Linked DNA regions of Drosophila melanogaster. The gene in region 3 interacts genetically with the main gene of each other region. Each region holds a gene or a part of one and is shown on either strand. Other genes may lie near its edges.

Region 1 (4,672 bases), on a different chromosome or scaffold from region 3:
AAGGAGTGCTGTAACATCTCCTCGCCAATGTCCTTGTACACCATCGATTGTGTGGAGAAATCGGCATCGTGGTGCTGTGATGCGAATATAAATTTAAGTAAAATTTTTTCTTGGACTCGAAATAAAACTTACATCATGTGACCAGTAGGAGTAATCAAAGTTGAAGCGCTTTACTGAATCGCTTGTGTTGGGCGGCACCTTTGGATTGGTGATGGCTGTCAGGACATAAGATTGAAGTATTTAATTAAGAGAAATCTAGAGTGTTTATGGGATTCTCACCCGTTGTGGCTCCTGCCATCTCGATGATGCATTTCGACTCCCTGGCTATTTCGCGCGAGTTGAAGGGGCGCACTCGCACCGCCACCTTAACCGACGACATCTTGTCCTTCTTCCTCTCTGTGGGTGTCCTGGTTTCCGGTTAACTGGAGTGGAAATAGAGGAACGGGAATACTTTATAGACATTCGAGTCATTCGAGTGGGCTGCAAATTGGCCAGAGACTACCACTGCCCAGCACTGACATTTTATAATTGCCCCAACTTTATGGTTATACACTCGTCCACGATTTGTTTCTGTGGCAGCTCGAAGCTATGAGTCATACCCCCGGCAACTCGCCAGGGAAATTTGAATTGAAGCCAGGGGTGGGGCTAAGAATTTATTATTTGCTGTCCTATATGTGCAATACGTCGAAGACTAAGCCGGGTACATTGCCAACTATTTTATAATACAAATTTCTTATAAAACAATAGACGTTAAGGATTGAAGATTTATTGCTTTCGAAACATTCTAGGTGAGTTCTCTTTCTCCTCTTTTTTTTTAATAAGAAGTGATACAGTTAAAGAAAGTTAAAAATTCTTTATAATTTTGTTAGATTTTAGGTTTGTTTTTCAGTAGTTTTATCACTTATCGTAATGGATTTTAATGCAAATAGTTTTCCCTCTAGTTTTTACCCTCTGACTCACACACACGCACACACACTCACACACTTGAAGCAGGGGGAAAAATTCCACAATCCACAAATGCTTCCAATAAAAGCGCAGACGAGTGTCGGCCAATAGTCGAATGAGTCATCGAGCAAATACAAGAGGCAGAATAAAGAAAAGTACTCACACCCCACAAAAGAAAGAAAGGACCCTTTAAAGGCGATGCATAACGCGTATTTTCAATATATTTCTTAACTTTGTTAAAACAAATAACTACCATTTATGGAGATTAAATTACCTTTAGTTTAGGCCAAACGATTGCTGGCTTATTGGGCGGCTATATCCTTAAAGCTCATTATAGCATAAGTTGTAAGGAATCGATTGCACTTATGTGTGATTTGATTTTTAGTTAATGTTTGATAAGGTAAAATTTGTTTTTTTTTTCGTTTGTCACTCTTTGCTTTATTTATTAACTTTCTAGTGGTAAATTCACTTGACCAACTGAGAAATTCTTTCACTCGCGTACACTAGCGTCCTGAAATATTGTGAAACCAAGTTTAGAAGCCATTCCAATGCGCAGCTGTGAGAATTGCTCTCTCTTTCCTGTCCTTTCTCTCTCTCTCTTTGTTTACCTGACCAAAATACTTTTGTTTATGTTTTTTTTTTGTTCTTTCAATTTTCCGAACAAACTGTCAAAGCAAATGTGCAACAGCCTGCAGTAAAAAGTCTCCACAGGAAGATTTGCGCAGAAGCGCGAGACAGGAGAAATGTGGAGAGAAGACAGAGAAAGGCGAGAGTATATATAGAGAGTGTGGGAGCGAAAGTGGGATAGGATATGCTAAATATTTGTGTAATGTATTTTATTTATTTTTTGTATGATATGCAGACTGACGCTGGTTGAAGGCGCACGAAACGATAAAAGAACGACTATAAGAAATTAAAATCAGGCTATATCCTTTTCGAGAATGTCCACTTCTCAACGTCCTTAGCTCGTTTTACCTGGCCAGGCTCTTGAAAATTTATTCGTCACACAGTCAACCCTCATTTGCACTTGAGAAACGAACTAAGCACTCGAGGTCCTTTGCAATACCACGCTTTTGTTGCCTTCTGCGTCATATTTTTTATGGCTTCCTGCGGGGCAACACGGCGGGCACTTAATACCGTATGCAGGACCTCTCACCACACTCATATGCGCGCCCCGTCTCATTCGTGGGTAATATCCTTGCGTTCGCTTGCGTTCTTCTTGACCTTTATTAATAAATTTTCAAGTTGCCTTTGCCATGGACACCGAGCCAGGAAATCTCTACACTCTACACACACTATGCACACTACTCTGGAGGCCACTGTACACTAGATGATGGGGGGGGGCAAAAATTAGCGAATCAAAATTATGTAAAACGTAATTATGGGCTATGTTTTATCGAGAATTTTGAAATGTTCGGTCGAGCGAATTGATGAAATTTTGCAAATATATTTTGAAGCATTTACCAATTGATTTTCTGTTTCGTTTTATTATTTTTCGGGGCATTATACTCATTAACCCATGGAACTCAAAATATTTTCTGTTTTAGGAACATTTGTGGTTGTTGCTGATAGTCCGTTGGTTGTTGTTGTTGCTGCATTTCTTGGTCTGGCTGGTGTTCTTGTGTGTAATTGAATACTAGTACAAAGCTATCCAACATGGATCGCTTGGAGGTAGTGGCGAATATAATGGACAGCACCAGAATTGTTGTTAACAATAGGGCGAAAAACAATAGGTAACCAAAAGCGCACATTCGCGTAGTTTCTTCTTCTTGACTTGGCTAAAGGATTTTTGAATATATATTATATATATATGTAGGCTCTCGTATATGTGTATATATGTGTAGGGGTCTGTCTTTCTGTATAACAGCGAAAAATTTTCACTCCTTTTTTTGGGGGACAAATAATTGATAAAGTTTTAGTTTGCCACTGTATCGAATTGTTTTAATTTGAAACTTGTTAGTTGCTTTACTTGGCTGCGCTTTGTTTAAACGGTTGGGCAACTTTTCGCTGATGAAAACTCTGAGCTTTTCTGCACAAAATCGATGGCCAGTCAGCGGAAGGCCTTAGGAAATGAAATTCGCGCACGACTCTCGAGACCAGAACGAACTGCACCCGTTAAGGGTAGACGACACAGTGAGCAGTTCTGGGAAAGTTCAGAGGATACGACGACCAGCCCACCAGCAGGACGCATGCGCCGCAATCGGGGTACAAAACTGGAAGAACAGCAACCGTGTGGGCTGTATGGTATATATGGGTATGCGAAAATTTTTTTTTTTATAAATTTCATACACATAGCGTAAAAGGTCCGCAATAACAAAACGACCGTCTGTCATCCGCGGGCACAAGGAATTTCATTATTAGCGCAAGGTGTCCACTTTTTCGGACGGCCACTGTGGCAGACCCCCAATTTTCCCCGATGTTTGATCTTATTATGAGCCATTTCACATATCGCTGCCGGCACAGTGGCTATAGCGACGGCTTTATCCACCAGCTGATGACGTAAAGTGAATTCTTTTTATTGATTTCCCATCGCACCGAGACGCAGGACAAGCTTTGGCTTTTTATGTTACGCGGTAGTCGGTAATCGGTAGTAGGTATTTGTATACTATGTATATATTCTACGGCGTAATTACATTGACATTGAAATCTGACGGCGAGGCTGGGAGGGCAGTAAAAAGTTGGAGGTTTTGGCTTTGGTAGGGAAATGTTAAAGAATGGGGCTTGGTAAAAGAATGTGCTGGAAGCTGGACGTCCTCATCTGTGGGGAATCTTTCATCATTACATTTAACTTTTTTTTAATTATGAAGTTTACAAGCTTAACAAGTGGTTTAAAGTGCAAAAAAAAAAATACAAGTATTATCATCGAAAACAGCGATTGTAGCCGGAATTAATTGTTGAATTAGTTTTTTCTGATAGCTCTTAGGAAATCAAAGTAATCCCAGAACTAGTTTCACTTTTACCCAATTCAACGCCAAGATTTCGGACTACAAACAAGTAAAACTAAAATGCCGGCCATCGACACAAAAACAACCAAATCCGATGTTTTTACCGTGAAAAACGCGTTGGATGCGGAATTCGACAATTTTTGGAAAACGGTTAGCTGTTTTGCGGCCAACAACTTTCCGTTCGAGGAGCGATGTGAGTTCGTACAGAAAGCGGAGGACTGCAATTCGAGCACAAATGTAATTCCATACATGAGACTCTTGGCCTGCGATCTGAAGTGTATCAATCAGTTCCAGGAAATGATCTTCATCGCCTTGTTCGTGGCGTTTTGCTTTCAGATATTGGTTCTACTAATTTACACAATCAATGTTTAGTAAGTAGCTAACTAAAGCGAAGATTAAAATTGAGCTTGAAATGCTTGCTTTTGCAGCTATAGTCCTGCTCTGAAGGCCGTATCCCGATTCCTTCATATGAACGAGCATTTGGCGGGAGTTACCCTGATGGCATTTGGAAACACTTCTGCCGATTTTTTCGCCAACTTGGCCAGCGTTGAACGACATGTCCCTGTGTTTGCCAATAACTTGTCGTCAGCCCTGTTTGTGATTACGATTTCCGGTGGCCTAATATTCTACATTTCGCCCTTCAAGATGAATTCCTACGAAACTGTCCGGGACATTTTATTTCTTCTCTTAGCGACTTTATTGATGGATTACTTTGCATACACGACAAACCATTTCGCATTGGGCTATGAATTTAAATTTTTCAGTAAGCATAATAGCCCAAG
Region 2 (4,931 bases), 1.7 Mb from region 3:
CAACTTGAAGAAAAAACTTCAAATACATAGAAGTACGAGTGTAAAAGATACTTGTCCTTGACCGTAAGTTTATCTAATTCGGCTGATATTTTATCACTGTCACAACGCAAAACATTGAACGATATCAATTTCCCATTTATGGGTTAATTGGGGGAAGAAAGGCAGATACGGGGATTCTACTCGAGTCGGGTTTGGAGCAATGTTTAATGGCTTTTCAAGTGCTTCTCAAAATGAGGAACCGAAGACCCTGCCTTCCACTTGCAGTTGCAAACGCATTGCGGTCATAAAGAGTGCACTTTATGGCATTCCACAAACAAAAGTCAAAGGTTTAAGGGGGCACAAAAATGGGAGTGTTTTACAGGAGTGACAGCAGTTAAAATATGTGAAAGTAATCTATACTTTCTAATTGGAACTATTCCTTACTTTAAGTTCATGATAGATTGGCTAATTGCAGAATATTTAAATAAATTTAGCACACAGATACATATTATTTATATTTTTCTGATCCCACATATTTAGTAAAAGGGGGAAAAAAAAAAACAACAAAAACGAGGCCCCAATTAGGGCCCAAATTAGGTGTTTTTCTCGAGGCTGAGGCTTAAAATAACATTCCAACCTTCGAAAGTGATAAAAGAGCCCAGCGTTGATTATTATAAATAGCAATGCTCCACCTATTATCTTATCTCTGGATTTAAATACACTTTTGGCCATGCCAAAGATCGGACCAGAAATATTTATTCAGTCAAGCAAAAAGTTTGGCTCTTCCACTGGAATCCAAATGGTGAGTACTTTCCCATTGTTCTTGTGCTTTTGCCAGTGCAATGTCATGACTTGACGCCATCACATTTTCATTTTCTGGGCTGCCTTGATTGGTGTAAAGAAAATTGCACCGACATCAGAACGCGATCTTAAAAGTCAATGCTCCTATATATTGCTCTTGTGACTGGGGGGTTCAACGAATGGCGATTATTCCAGCTATATTCTTATCAGAGGATGTTCGTGATTGCGACTCTCTTGGTAATTTCCATAGAGTTCAACCCGTACAATGGGTTTACAAATAGCACTATATATCATTTTATTCTTATTTTATCTTCATGTACTAAGCACTGTATATAATCTCAAAACAATCATTTGATTATCTACTTTGATAGATATTTCATGTAATTTACTGAATTTCTTTAAAATAATGTCATGGCTAATATGTCAAATCTTTTCGCTTACTTGACAATAATGTTCCCTGCTTTCTTGTTTGACTTTCTTTTGTTTTTGGAAAACTTCGGCACTTGTCATTGTCGGCTGCTGCCACGCCCTCCGTCACGCCCCTTACAATGATGTCACATTGCACAGACTCAAATTGCTCCAATTTCGCCCCCATTGCTTTTGACTATGTCACGCTTTTCCCAGCGAGCGCTTTTCCACACTTGACTTCGCATTTCCCCGCGATCTTGGAACCGCGGTATTCCCACCTCAACTAATAACTTTGTTGGTTTTCCATCCATTTTCCGAGTGCATTGCGCCTGGGCTTTGGCTTTTTCCGCAGTTTGCCACTGTTTCATTTTCTTTTTGCATGCCCTGGATTTCCATTTTGTCGTACTTGGTTTTTGCGCTGGTTTTTCTCGCCGATTGTGAAAAGTTGTGCACTAATGGCAGCTGTGAAATGCATTTATGTTTATGGTCTAGTTTTTCCATTCTTATTATTATTTTTTTTTTTTTTGACGCCTTTTGAGCACCTCTTAAGGGCAAACATTTATTCTTATCCTCCAGTCACATTAGTGCGAAGGCTAAGAGCAACCGTGATGGGTTTGCTTTGGAATTACGAATGGAAGTGGAGCAAAGCTGTGGGATTTAGAGTCATTTAACTTTACGGATCTTTAAGCGTCACTACTACTACCTAACTACCTTTCTTTCTATAGGACCATTTCATACCCTAGAAGACATCGTTTGCCTGTAGTATTGTTAAAATAAACGAATAACTAACTTTCATATACCAAATCTCAAGTAAAGAATGTTTTATGAAATGAATACACCTCTCTTAAGATATATGAATCCCAACATGTGTGAGAAAATTAACATAAAATACCGATAAGATTACATAAACATGCAAATCTTCCACTTCATCTTATAATATAGCATTATTGATCCCCGGCTGGCGACTCACCTTGATAATTTACAAATTCAGTTGGAACTGTTTGATTTATTCGAAAGGGTTTGCATATATCATTTTGAAAACGGCAAATTGCGATTATAATCGAAACAAAAGTGAGCAGAGGAAGAGAAGAAGAATAAGAGGAATGGCGATATTAGGGAGATAAAGTTGCACGCGAAAACCGGTTGCCGTTATTGTTTACACCAAATCGGAAACGAAGTTGTGGGGGCAGGCGCGAATATGAATGTTGTACGGAGGGGAAGAAGTGGAAACTGGGCGGAAAACGGAGAACGGGGAACGGGAAAGTGGGAATCAATAAAACAAACACACCACGAAAAACACATGGAAAGTGCAGCAAAACTATATGCCTTTCATTTCGGTTTAGTGCACAAATCGGCGAGTCCTGCTGCCACAAGAATGAATCATTCGAATCTTTTCGATTTTGTCGAAAGATATGATATGTGAGATAAATAATATGCTGATGCACAACCACACACACACTCGCACTCACGCTCACGCACACCCGCCCCCACACACACGAACGAACGAGGCTTCACTGTTTATGTTTATTAATATATTCCAGACACGCGGATCCATAGAAGAAAATCATACATATTCGAATTCACGGCGGCGACGACAGCAAAATGAAAAAAAATCGAAAACGAACCGAAAACTGAAAAGCAGAACACACGCGTTGGTCCTATTCGTTCCTTTGTTTTTGATATCGTATCGCGAGGGGCTAAGAACTATAACTATATCCGCATTATATAACCGCACTGGTAGATCCGGGCATGGCTGCACCGTGGGGCACGTAATTGCACCCGTCACTTACACTTTTCCTCGCCAGTCGCTTGGATCTCGCGTCCGAGTCGTTTGGGGATTTGTTTTTTAAAACGCGACGTTCGTTCCTCGGTTCTCGACGGCTATAAACAGTGTGGCCGCGCCGGGAGTGCAACTATAAGCCGATGGTGTGACCATGGCGGGAAAGTGGTATTATGCCGTGTGCCATATGGGCAAATATACCAAAACAATAAATAGCAATTCAAATAATTTAATATATAACATGTTTACTTAAAAACTAAGCTTTTTACCTAAATAAGTATAATAAAGATATAATAAAGTAAAATATTATTTTGTTATATATAATATTACCTGTGAAAAAATTTTAAAAACGTCAATTTGTTTTATACTTCTTTATTTCTTTCATTTATATAAAGAATTCCATGTTTAATTTATTCACATTGAAACATATTCAGCATAACAGTTTTGACCCACTGTAAACCTCCCTTTTCAATACTAATTCTAACGTCAACCATTGTTATCGATAACAGCTAATTTGCTGATCGCTCTCGTTCGCATAAAATAAACACTTTTCCGGCATTTTAAAATGGTAAGTAGATATTTAACGAACTGTGCCTTTTATACATCCCTTTTTTCCGCTAGTTTTCTGTCCTTCATAAAGAGGAAAATGCGCACGACAGTCAGCTATGGGCGTGCACCTGGGGACGCGACACTGCGGCCTCAGATCCGGATGACGCGGTCGTGGAGCCCGAGGAGAATCCCTTTGATTTCGATAAGAAGGAGGCCCGCCCGAAGGATTTCTTGGTCACCGGCGGACTGGATGACTTGGTAAAGGTGTGGGACTTGCAGGAGGACAACACCCTAAAGTTGCGCCACAAACTAAAAGGACATGCCCTGGGAGTTGTTTCTGTGGCCGTCAGTTCCGATGGACAGAGTAGGTTGAAAGATTCTGTACTTGGGAGATAGAGAAATGGACATCAATTAATGGTGCCGCCTTCCTTCCAGCCATTGCCAGTAGTTCTCTGGACTCCACCATGTGTTTGTGGGATGCCCGTTCGGGCGACAAGAAACACCTACTTAGCTTTGGGCCTGTTGATCTCTGGACGGTGCAATTTTCACCCTGCAACAAATATGTGATATCCGGACTGAACGACGGCAAAATCTCCATGTACAGTGTGGAAACCGGAAAGGCAGAGCAGACATTGGATGCCCAAAATGGGAAATACACGCTTAGCATTGCCTACGTAAGCTTTATCTGGTAAATAACCCATTTTGAGAATCCTATAGCTGTATTATTCTAGAGTCCCGATGGCAAGTACATTGCCAGTGGAGCCATCGATGGTATCATTACCATTTTCGATGTGGCCGCGGGCAAGGTAGTGCAAACATTGGAAGGACACGCGATGCCAGTGCGTAGCCTTTGCTTTTCTCCGAACTCGCAGCTGCTGCTCACTGCCTCAGATGATGGTCACATGAAGCTTTATGATGTGTAAGTGGCTTAACACCTATGACATTTTCAGGCACTACTATCTCCTCGTTTTAGAACCCACTCCGACGTTGTGGGCACCCTATCTGGGCACGCATCTTGGGTGCTGTGCGTGGCATTCTCCGAGGACGGCAAACACTTTGCCAGCTCCTCCAGTGATAACAGCGTGAAAATATGGGACACCTCGGAACGCAAGTGCCTGCACACGTTCGCCGAGCACACAGATCAGGTGTGGGGCGTCCGATATAGCCCCGGAAACGACAAGGTGGCCTCTGCTTCTGAGGACAAGTCCCTGAACATATACTACTGTCCGCCCAATGCCATTGTTTGATTTCATACAATAGAGCGTAGGTTTAAAACAAAGAACAAGAATGATTTATTTACGGATTACCCTCCGAGCTCGATTTAACCCGCAGAAGGGGCTGCGTGGCTTGAGTTAGCATCGTGTCTTTGTACTTCTGGTCGGGTATGTACATATTAAAAGTTTTAAAGTAGTGC
Region 3 (7,650 bases):
GTTTCCTTATTCAGCATCCTCTCCAGACCCCCACTCCATCTCCCCCACACTCATTCGGAATATAGGGTCCCACACAGCATAAACCCGACTTAGAGCCCAGAAAACCCTTTCCTCTGTAAACCCTTTCACCACTTGCAATTATTGAAAATGTCAAGGACCATCAGCGAGCTCAGAATAAATAAAAATTCGTTTTGTAATGGCGTTTATTGGTTTTATTAATTATCATGAGCTTTTAGTGGGCTGAAAGGCTTACAGCGAAATGTCGGGCGTTGGGAGGGGAATTTAATCTATGCTAATTGAAAAGGAGAGGCACAGCATTGCAAAATAAGATTAAGTCCACCATGCACACTTTTCCTAATACACATTTATAAATGTTTGTTTTGTTTATTTTATAAATAGCCACATATTGTTTGTCGTATATCATATGGATATGATCCTTGGACCAAAAGAGCACCCCCAAAACATAACATTACCGATTGATTACATGTCCAATATTCGTATAAGTTAGATTATGTATAATATTTTGTTTCTTATTATCTGTGCAATATTTGTACACAATGTATTTATAAAAGGTAAGAAATAACGAATGTAGAAAATCAATAGAAACTAAATATCCTACAAAAGAGCATACCAAAGATCAGCGACTTTAAGTTTAATATCACAAAAATTATTCAAATGAGATGTTACTAAGCGCAAACGAATGAATGAGTCAAGCGGAGGCACGCATTACAAAATCATAATACATAATACATACAGACTATATAAATATCAATACTTTTTGTTCTTTAGCTATTTGAGTATTCAGGATAGAATATTTAACGCTTGAGTAATGTATATGGAAATATAATTTTCTATTTGTAAATGGAGTATATATGGCCAGAGCCACGTTAACCCAGCGCAGCTGATAGCAAAGGCTCCCAGGCCCTATTTGTGTCCATATAAAGTTTATTATATTGCTCGGCCAGAGAGTCACCGTCGTCTAGTATGGTTATTGGAAATAGATCGTTCTGTAAAATTAGAATATTTCGTTATTGCTAAGGAAAGGTTTAGTAGTCAACGAGAAACATACATTCTTAGACTGCCAAAGCTGCTCTAGCAACCGCAGGAAACGTTGCATTTCCATGCTGCTGGCAAAGAATATAACCAAATCGTCCTGGTTTTCCAATGGTGCCTCCTGGCAGGAGAACTCCAGAATGCACCACCAAGTCTCGCTCCGCGAGGTTATCTTAATGCCAGTCATCTCTTTGATGTCCGCACAAGTTAGTATGGCTAAACCGGAGTTCTTTCCGTAAACACTGGTCATTCTTTGTGATTTTTCCGGCGAAGCTACAGTTTCTTTCGGAGCTGCATCTTCGTTTGTTTGCTTAGTAGGCGTAGAGCTTAACGAGGAATATGAATGTTGAGTGCCACGGGTAGGAGTACTAATGGTGGAACCCATCTAAAATTTTAAGTCCAAATGATTACGAAGTTTGATTTGCTAATACAATAAGCGCACTTACTAAGCTACTGGTTTCAAAAACACTGAGCATATCCTCCTCAAGCATGGTTTCTTTATTTCCCTGAACGGCTGCATTGTTATCCGCCTGCTGGCTTATTTTTCGTAGAGGAGCCGAAAAGTCTTCACGCAGGGTTATTAAATGGTTATCCGTGACGATCAACGTGCATCCAAGGGTTTTGTGCTTCTCCTCTTGAACCACAAGCTAAACACAACAAAAAGTTAAAACAAATCTTCTAATATTAATTGTCTACTTACGCCACTGGCTGATTGCAAAAGAGCCTGGAGCCACTCGGAGGCTACATACTCGTCGGGCGCAGCCATTTGCAGGACTTCGCCCTTTAGCGTAATCTCGAAGCAGTGGGGGCGCTCTGATTTCACAGTTCGCCGGGCGCCCTGACACTCGGCGAGGGCCATGGCCCAGCTGGGAAGCCTTTGGGTGGAATCGTTGAACATATACAATACGCCAGCTCTAAGAAATGAACACATATTAAATTGAATTCCTTCAAATATCGAGAGTTACGAACTTCAGTAAAAAGTATCCTGGTTGCCAAAATATTCTGTTCGCTGCTGAAGTGCTGATCGTCTGCCTAAGTCTTCGATGCATGAGGAATCCCTTCATTGAAGGTCCCAGCAGTTCGCTTGGCGATTCGACTCTCATTGACCCTCCAGCTGGCACATTAACCACTGCATAGAGCATCCAATGTTCTGCTACGCCAACACAGCTGTTGGCACGCACAAAAGCCTGCAGTGGAGCCAAATGTTCTAGAGTCAGCTGACCAACTGCAGGCAGAGTGGATCCACTGCGTCGGGCACACAACTCCAGGTTGGCTACCAGGGATCCGGCTGGATACGGACCACCCGCGAGCAGGACCTGCTGCATGTCTCGATTACTGTTGCTGAGCAAAACTGTGTTGCCAAAAGGTCCCATCTAAAAAATGATGTTGCATTAACTAATATATCACAGCAATGTCATCCGTTAACATTTACCAGTATGACATCCAAGTCCTTGTAGGCCAAAACAAACTTGACACACAGACTATTTCCTTCCATATTCACCACATACAGAGTTTTATCAGTGAGTAGGACAAGTACAGGTGTCATGATGCCATCTACATTGTAGCCTGTATACAGTTTGAAAGCCTGAAATGATAAGTTTTTATAATTGATTGCTATTTGCTACACAATTACAATCTACCTTCATTAGCTGCTCATTTGATTGTTTCAGATTGAACAAGGACTTTCCTTTGAATACATCAATTGAGATCTCCCCAATGCCAAGTTCGAAATTGGACAAGTTGCCTTGGAAATCGTTATCCAAACTAATGGCAAGTTCCCGTCGCGGCGAATTCGTGCCACACATCTCAATCTCCATGGCAATCTCTGCATTTAAGTCATCTATAAGCTCGTAGTTCTTTGGCCGAGCACCCTTCACATACAGATCGGATCCGGCATGCCTCTGTTCGGTTCTCAATTTATCGGCAAAGAAATTGTTCTTGCGTATGGAGGTTTCCATTATTTTCTTCTGTGTGACATTACGAAGGAACCTATTTATAAGTGAAGTTTTGGCCGCCGGAGCTGGCGGCTTCAGTAAGTGAGCATAGTCCACATCTGTGTAGTCTACGATGACCAAATCGCTGTCCATTGAGCGCGCATTAGTTGTATCTGTAGTGGTTATAGTTAGTATGTCGTCAAACTCTTCGCTGAGAATAGTGCTCTTTGAGTCGCGACCACTACCTCCTGGTCCTCCGCGTCCAGCGGCTAGGTAGGCACTGGGGCTGTGGAGGCTCCGACTTTGGTGAGGATGCTGTTGGTCGTAGTAACGGGGCGGCTGTAAGGGTTGTCCACGCTTCTTGAGCGGTGAAGGAAGGTGTCGAGACTGACGCTCCGCGTTGCCCAGCTGCGGATTCATTGCGATTTGATGGTTGCTGCTGGTGTTGGTGTTCGAACTAGGTTCGGATATGGTTGATGAGGAAAAGTTGCGCTGAAGTTTGCCCGCGGCTGGTGCTTGTTGCTGCGGCTTAGCGATTTTTGAAGCTATATAAGCATAATGAACAGTGTTAGTCATCGGGGAAAATATTAATTCAAATGAATATTATTTGCTCACCAAAATAGTTATCTGTGACTGCTTGCTCGTCCTTTGCAACTGGTGTGCTGTCTTTGAAGCTTCGAAAGAAATTACTAAACGTCTTGGCAATGGGAGCATCCAAAAATGATTTCTTAATTTGACTAGCGGCCGGCTCTGCGATGGGAGTGTTTTGCTCGAGCAGACTGGCTACACTGGTGTGCTGAATACCGGATGAGAGTTCGGATTGCAGATCCCCCGTCTCGTAGGATACTCCGGTGTGTTCGAAAACAGTGCTCTCACAATTAATTATAAACTTGCTGCGGAACTCGCCCTGTGCGCTGCCCATTGGCACTGTTTCCTTATCGAATTCCTCTTGGCGATGCAACATCAGTGACTGTTTTGACTCCATCGGCGAGGCTTCCGTGGAGCTGGCACCATCGTCTTCGTTCTTATGCCGCAATTGCTCATCAACGTTGTGCACGAATTTCTTAACTGGTTGTGCCTGCTTGCTGCCGTCGAGACTCTTGCTGAGGAATGGCTTAGCTCTAAGAGGCGGTGACTCGGCCGCCGGCCGCGATTTGTGCTCTGGTGTCTGTTCCAGCTCAGGGACGCATTCCACCACCGCCTGCAGGTCTTCGGAGCCCTCGGGAACTCCGCGCTCCGGCAATGGCATGGTAAAGATGCTCTTTAGCGATCCAAATATCATCTTGCTACTGTTGTCGAGCAGTTGGTGCTTAATGTCGTGCACGTTAAACTTTTTTACCCGCCCATTGAGATCCTGCTCGAGTATGACATTTGTATGTAGCTTAGTTTTCTTTAAGCAGCTTGATTTCGGCTTCTTCTCCTTATTCCATACGGACTTGACTTTGGGACTGTCAGCATCTCCGATATTGGGCTCTGAATAGTAGCAATTGTCACCTAATTGTGGGATAAAGATTAATGTGGATATACATCACAAGGATTTAAGCAGAATGTTATATAGCTTACCGATTAGATTGTTGTTAGCATTGCTCATACCAATGCAATCACATGAGCTGCTCTTAGCCTGCTCGTACTGCTTACAATTCGCATTGGAATTTTTGTCTTGTTCGTCGGAATCCAAACTGGAGTTGGAACTGCTGCACACGCACTTGTAAAGTTGGGGTTGCTCTTCCTGTTTTTGGGTCGCAGGGCCGTACTCAAAGACACCTGAGGTGTCATAGTGCAGACCGGGCGCCTCGTCCGTGTCAAAAATGTTGTCGTAGTCCAGCACATCCGAGCAGGCATTTCGGTAGACCAGATGTCTCTTTCGCCTGGCACCTCCGCCACCGGTAGCCTCCTCGCCATCGTCTTCCCTGCCAGCGGCACTGAGTTCATTAGGTCCCTCCGGACGTTCCCGATCCGGACACCAGGAATATCGTCCTGGAGCGCCGGCCACGCCCGCTGAGTTAGCGAAGGCCAACTTGCGTCCGTTCTTGTAGGTGATAAAGCCATGCTCAATGTGAATGTTGTCGGTACGAGTGTTCTTCAGTATGTCCTCGTGGAAGGACACTCGCTTTTTGGGAGTTTTGGAGGCGGACGAAGCTTTGTGCACTTTGCGACGGTATACAATCTTCTCCGTGGTGTCGAACGTAGAGCACTCGCTAATGGTCATAGACTCATCCGGCGCTGCAGTCACATTGGAGTTGGGATCCACCAAAGGGAGGGGCATCGGTCTAACGTTTTCCTCGTAGGAGCAAATGGACTCCACCATCACATCGCTGTTTTCCGAGTCCAGGAGTTGTACTCCCGAATCGCTGGGCGTGGTGTCCTCCATGGTGCTGCTGTTCAAGCTGGAGCTCATCTTGTCCATGCCCAAATTGTTGTTGGCCTTGGGCAACAGAGGTGATTCCATGGTCGTTTCGATTTTCGCACTTGTCAAGAGTTATCTACGCAGTGATTTTCGTCTATTAACCTACGGAAAATTGTAAAAGTCGGTAAACCATTATTTGTGTATCTCGGCGTTCTTGCTATTAATCAATATCCACAAGTTGCACAATGCGCCGCAGCAAATCGCGCCAGTGCACAAAGGAAAATGACCCCTGACCCAGCACCCCCTTGAAAATCGCACCGGGATTAAATTCACACACCGCTGCTTCTGTCACTCACCTGCGATTGTATCGCAGGATTCCATGTTACTGTCGATCTGGGTGGTTTACGTTTCCTTTTACGCTTGCTTTAAGAGTTTTATGTGCAGATTTATCGCCACTTGTACATTTTAGAATTGCCAAAAAAAAACGTCTTGGCAAGTGAAACAATCAATATTTTGACCTCATAGAGTTGCCAGTTCCGCGAACAGCTGATTGCGCGCCAGAGCTGCCAGATAAGAGAAGAGGTTGGCAACGCGGCCTGTTACAGCAACGGGAAGTTCCGGTTTTCAAATAATATTTTTGTAAATTTTAAAATTCAACAATTATTTAACACATTATGTAAAATGTTCCTGAAGAGTTAATTCAATTTTAAGACAAGTTTGTATTCGGCTTTTATTTAAAATATTGTAGAGCACGTATTTGCATTTCAAGAAAATTGGGATTTAAAGTTAAGAGCAAACCCAGAACAGTTTGTGAAAACGTACTTCGAAAGCAAATGCCGGAACATGCCGATAAACCCATTTTTGACATCGACAGTTGGCGCCCAGTTCGCTTGTTTCGCGCAGTCAAACGGTTTTTCATATTTCACAGATATTATTCGCAAATACAGAGTGGACATTTAAATTAATGCCCTTGTCAGTGGGTGCGAACATCATTTCCTCTTTGCCATTTCGCTAACCGGGGTCAGTTGTCAATTTGAAAAGTAGTGTAGTGTGGGCGAATGCCAATGAAAGCGAATGAAACCTTAGAAATCAATTTATCACACTTTGCAGCACATCACAATCGTCGCGATAACTCTGCCGTTTCTTTATTGGTTTTTGCTGCGCGACGAGTAAAATATAATTCCTCGCTTACTAATCCTCCGAGCAAGTTCATTCTCAAGCGCACCCAGAGATGAGCTACTTTGGGAATTGACATGGACTGCGGAGCAATGAGTGCCAGAGGAACAATATCAAAGCCGAAGGTAGTGTGTTCATAATGCAAAGCCCAACTAGCAAATTGGTAGAATTCAGGTGCCTGATTGCGTTGGCAATATATTTGCACGCGCTGGAGCAATCGATCCAGCACTGCCATTGTGTTCATGGTTACAGGTGAGTCCGAGTGCGTTTGCCCAGTTTCATCAGATTTACGCCACAGGGCTGTTCTGTTCCACATATGCAGAAATAACACGGAGAGCGCCGAGCTGGTCTCCCACTACGAGTCGAGTCTTTCGCTCCCGGACATTTTGCCCATTCCCTCAAAGACGTACGACAAGAACCGGGCTCCCAAGCTCCTCGGCCAGCCCACAGTAGTCTACTTCCATGTCACGGTCCTCTCCCTGGACTCCATTAACGAGGAGTCTATGGTCAGTAGAATGTGTTCATCTTTTCAATACTCATCACTCAGCAAACACTAATTGGCTTATCATGCTCCTTTAGACCTATGTGACGGACATCTTCCTTGCACAAAGCTGGCGTGATCCTCGCCTGCGGTTGCCTGAGAACATGAGTGAGCAGTATCGCATATTGGATGTCGACTGGTTGCACAGCATTTGGCGGCCCGATTGCTTCTTTAAGAACGCCAAAAAGGTCACCTTCCATGAGATGAGCATTCCCAATCACTATCTCTGGCTGTACCACGACAAAACGCTGCTCTATATGTCCAAACTCACGTTGGTCCTGTCGTGCGCCATGAAGTTTGAGTCCTATCCGCATGACACGCAAATCTGCTCCATGATGATCGAGAGTTGTAGGTGGAAATGTAATGGTTATCTACACCCTGCAAATCCCGTATCGCTTGGAACTTTCCATTCCGCTTCTCGAATTACAAATAATCTGTGTTGAACCGAGTTTTGATTGGCAGTATCCCATACGGTGGAAGATTTGGTTTTCATTTGGAACATGACCGACCCACTTGTGGTTAACACGGAGATTGAGTTGCCGCAGCTAGACATATCAAATAACTACACAACCGACTGTACTATAGAGTACTCAACAGGT

Evidence for each region.
Region 1: of prd1 (region 3) and unc-104, changing one enhances a phenotype caused by changing the other (phenotypic enhancement), as found in Drosophila melanogaster (one study listed by BioGRID).
Region 2: of prd1 (region 3) and Mical, changing one enhances a phenotype caused by changing the other (phenotypic enhancement), as found in Drosophila melanogaster (one study listed by BioGRID).

Annotation. Positions count from the first base shown.
Region 1 is NT_033778.4:16,762,919-16,767,590, forward strand, and holds the start of unc-104 (uncoordinated-104), read right to left. Parts: upstream 3,083-4,672; 5' UTR 2,915-3,082; exon of another isoform or gene 2,697-2,914; coding exon of another isoform or gene 2,472-2,696; exon of another isoform or gene 2,443-2,471; intron 1,457-2,442; 5' UTR 1,220-1,456; intron 423-1,219; 5' UTR 380-422; coding exon 280-379; intron 216-279; coding exon 133-215; intron 75-132; coding exon 1-74. Other genes in the region: CG42392 (uncharacterized protein), read right to left, coding at 2,472-2,696; CG5348 (uncharacterized protein), read left to right, coding at 3,951-4,261, 4,319-4,653. UniProt on the Drosophila melanogaster protein: Required for presynaptic maturation, has a role in axonal transport of dense-core vesicles carrying synaptic vesicle precursors, components required for the morphological transformation of axonal growth cones to mature boutons.
Region 2 is NT_033777.3:10,039,814-10,044,744, forward strand, and holds the start of Mical (molecule interacting with CasL), read right to left. Parts: upstream 3,083-4,931; 5' UTR 2,979-3,082; intron 2,186-2,978; exon of another isoform or gene 2,159-2,185; intron 1-2,158. Other genes in the region: CG3909 (uncharacterized protein), read left to right, coding at 3,534-3,536, 3,590-3,881, 3,953-4,191, 4,249-4,436, 4,491-4,764; CG11722 (uncharacterized protein), read right to left, coding at 4,814-4,931. UniProt on the Drosophila melanogaster protein: Monooxygenase that promotes depolymerization of F-actin by mediating oxidation of specific methionine residues on actin.
Region 3 is NT_033777.3:11,780,933-11,788,582, forward strand, and holds prd1 (pruning defect 1), read right to left. Parts: upstream 6,083-7,650; 5' UTR 5,691-6,082; intron 5,497-5,690; 5' UTR 5,437-5,496; coding exon 4,551-5,436; intron 4,482-4,550; coding exon 3,603-4,481; intron 3,533-3,602; coding exon 2,694-3,532; intron 2,639-2,693; coding exon 2,486-2,638; intron 2,427-2,485; coding exon 2,023-2,426; intron 1,968-2,022; coding exon 1,754-1,967; intron 1,701-1,753; coding exon 1,500-1,700; intron 1,439-1,499; coding exon 1,070-1,438; intron 1,008-1,069; coding exon 888-1,007; 3' UTR 199-887; downstream 1-198. Other genes in the region: HisCl1 (Histamine-gated chloride channel subunit 1), read left to right, coding at 6,650-6,762, 6,833-7,016, 7,090-7,399, 7,514-7,648.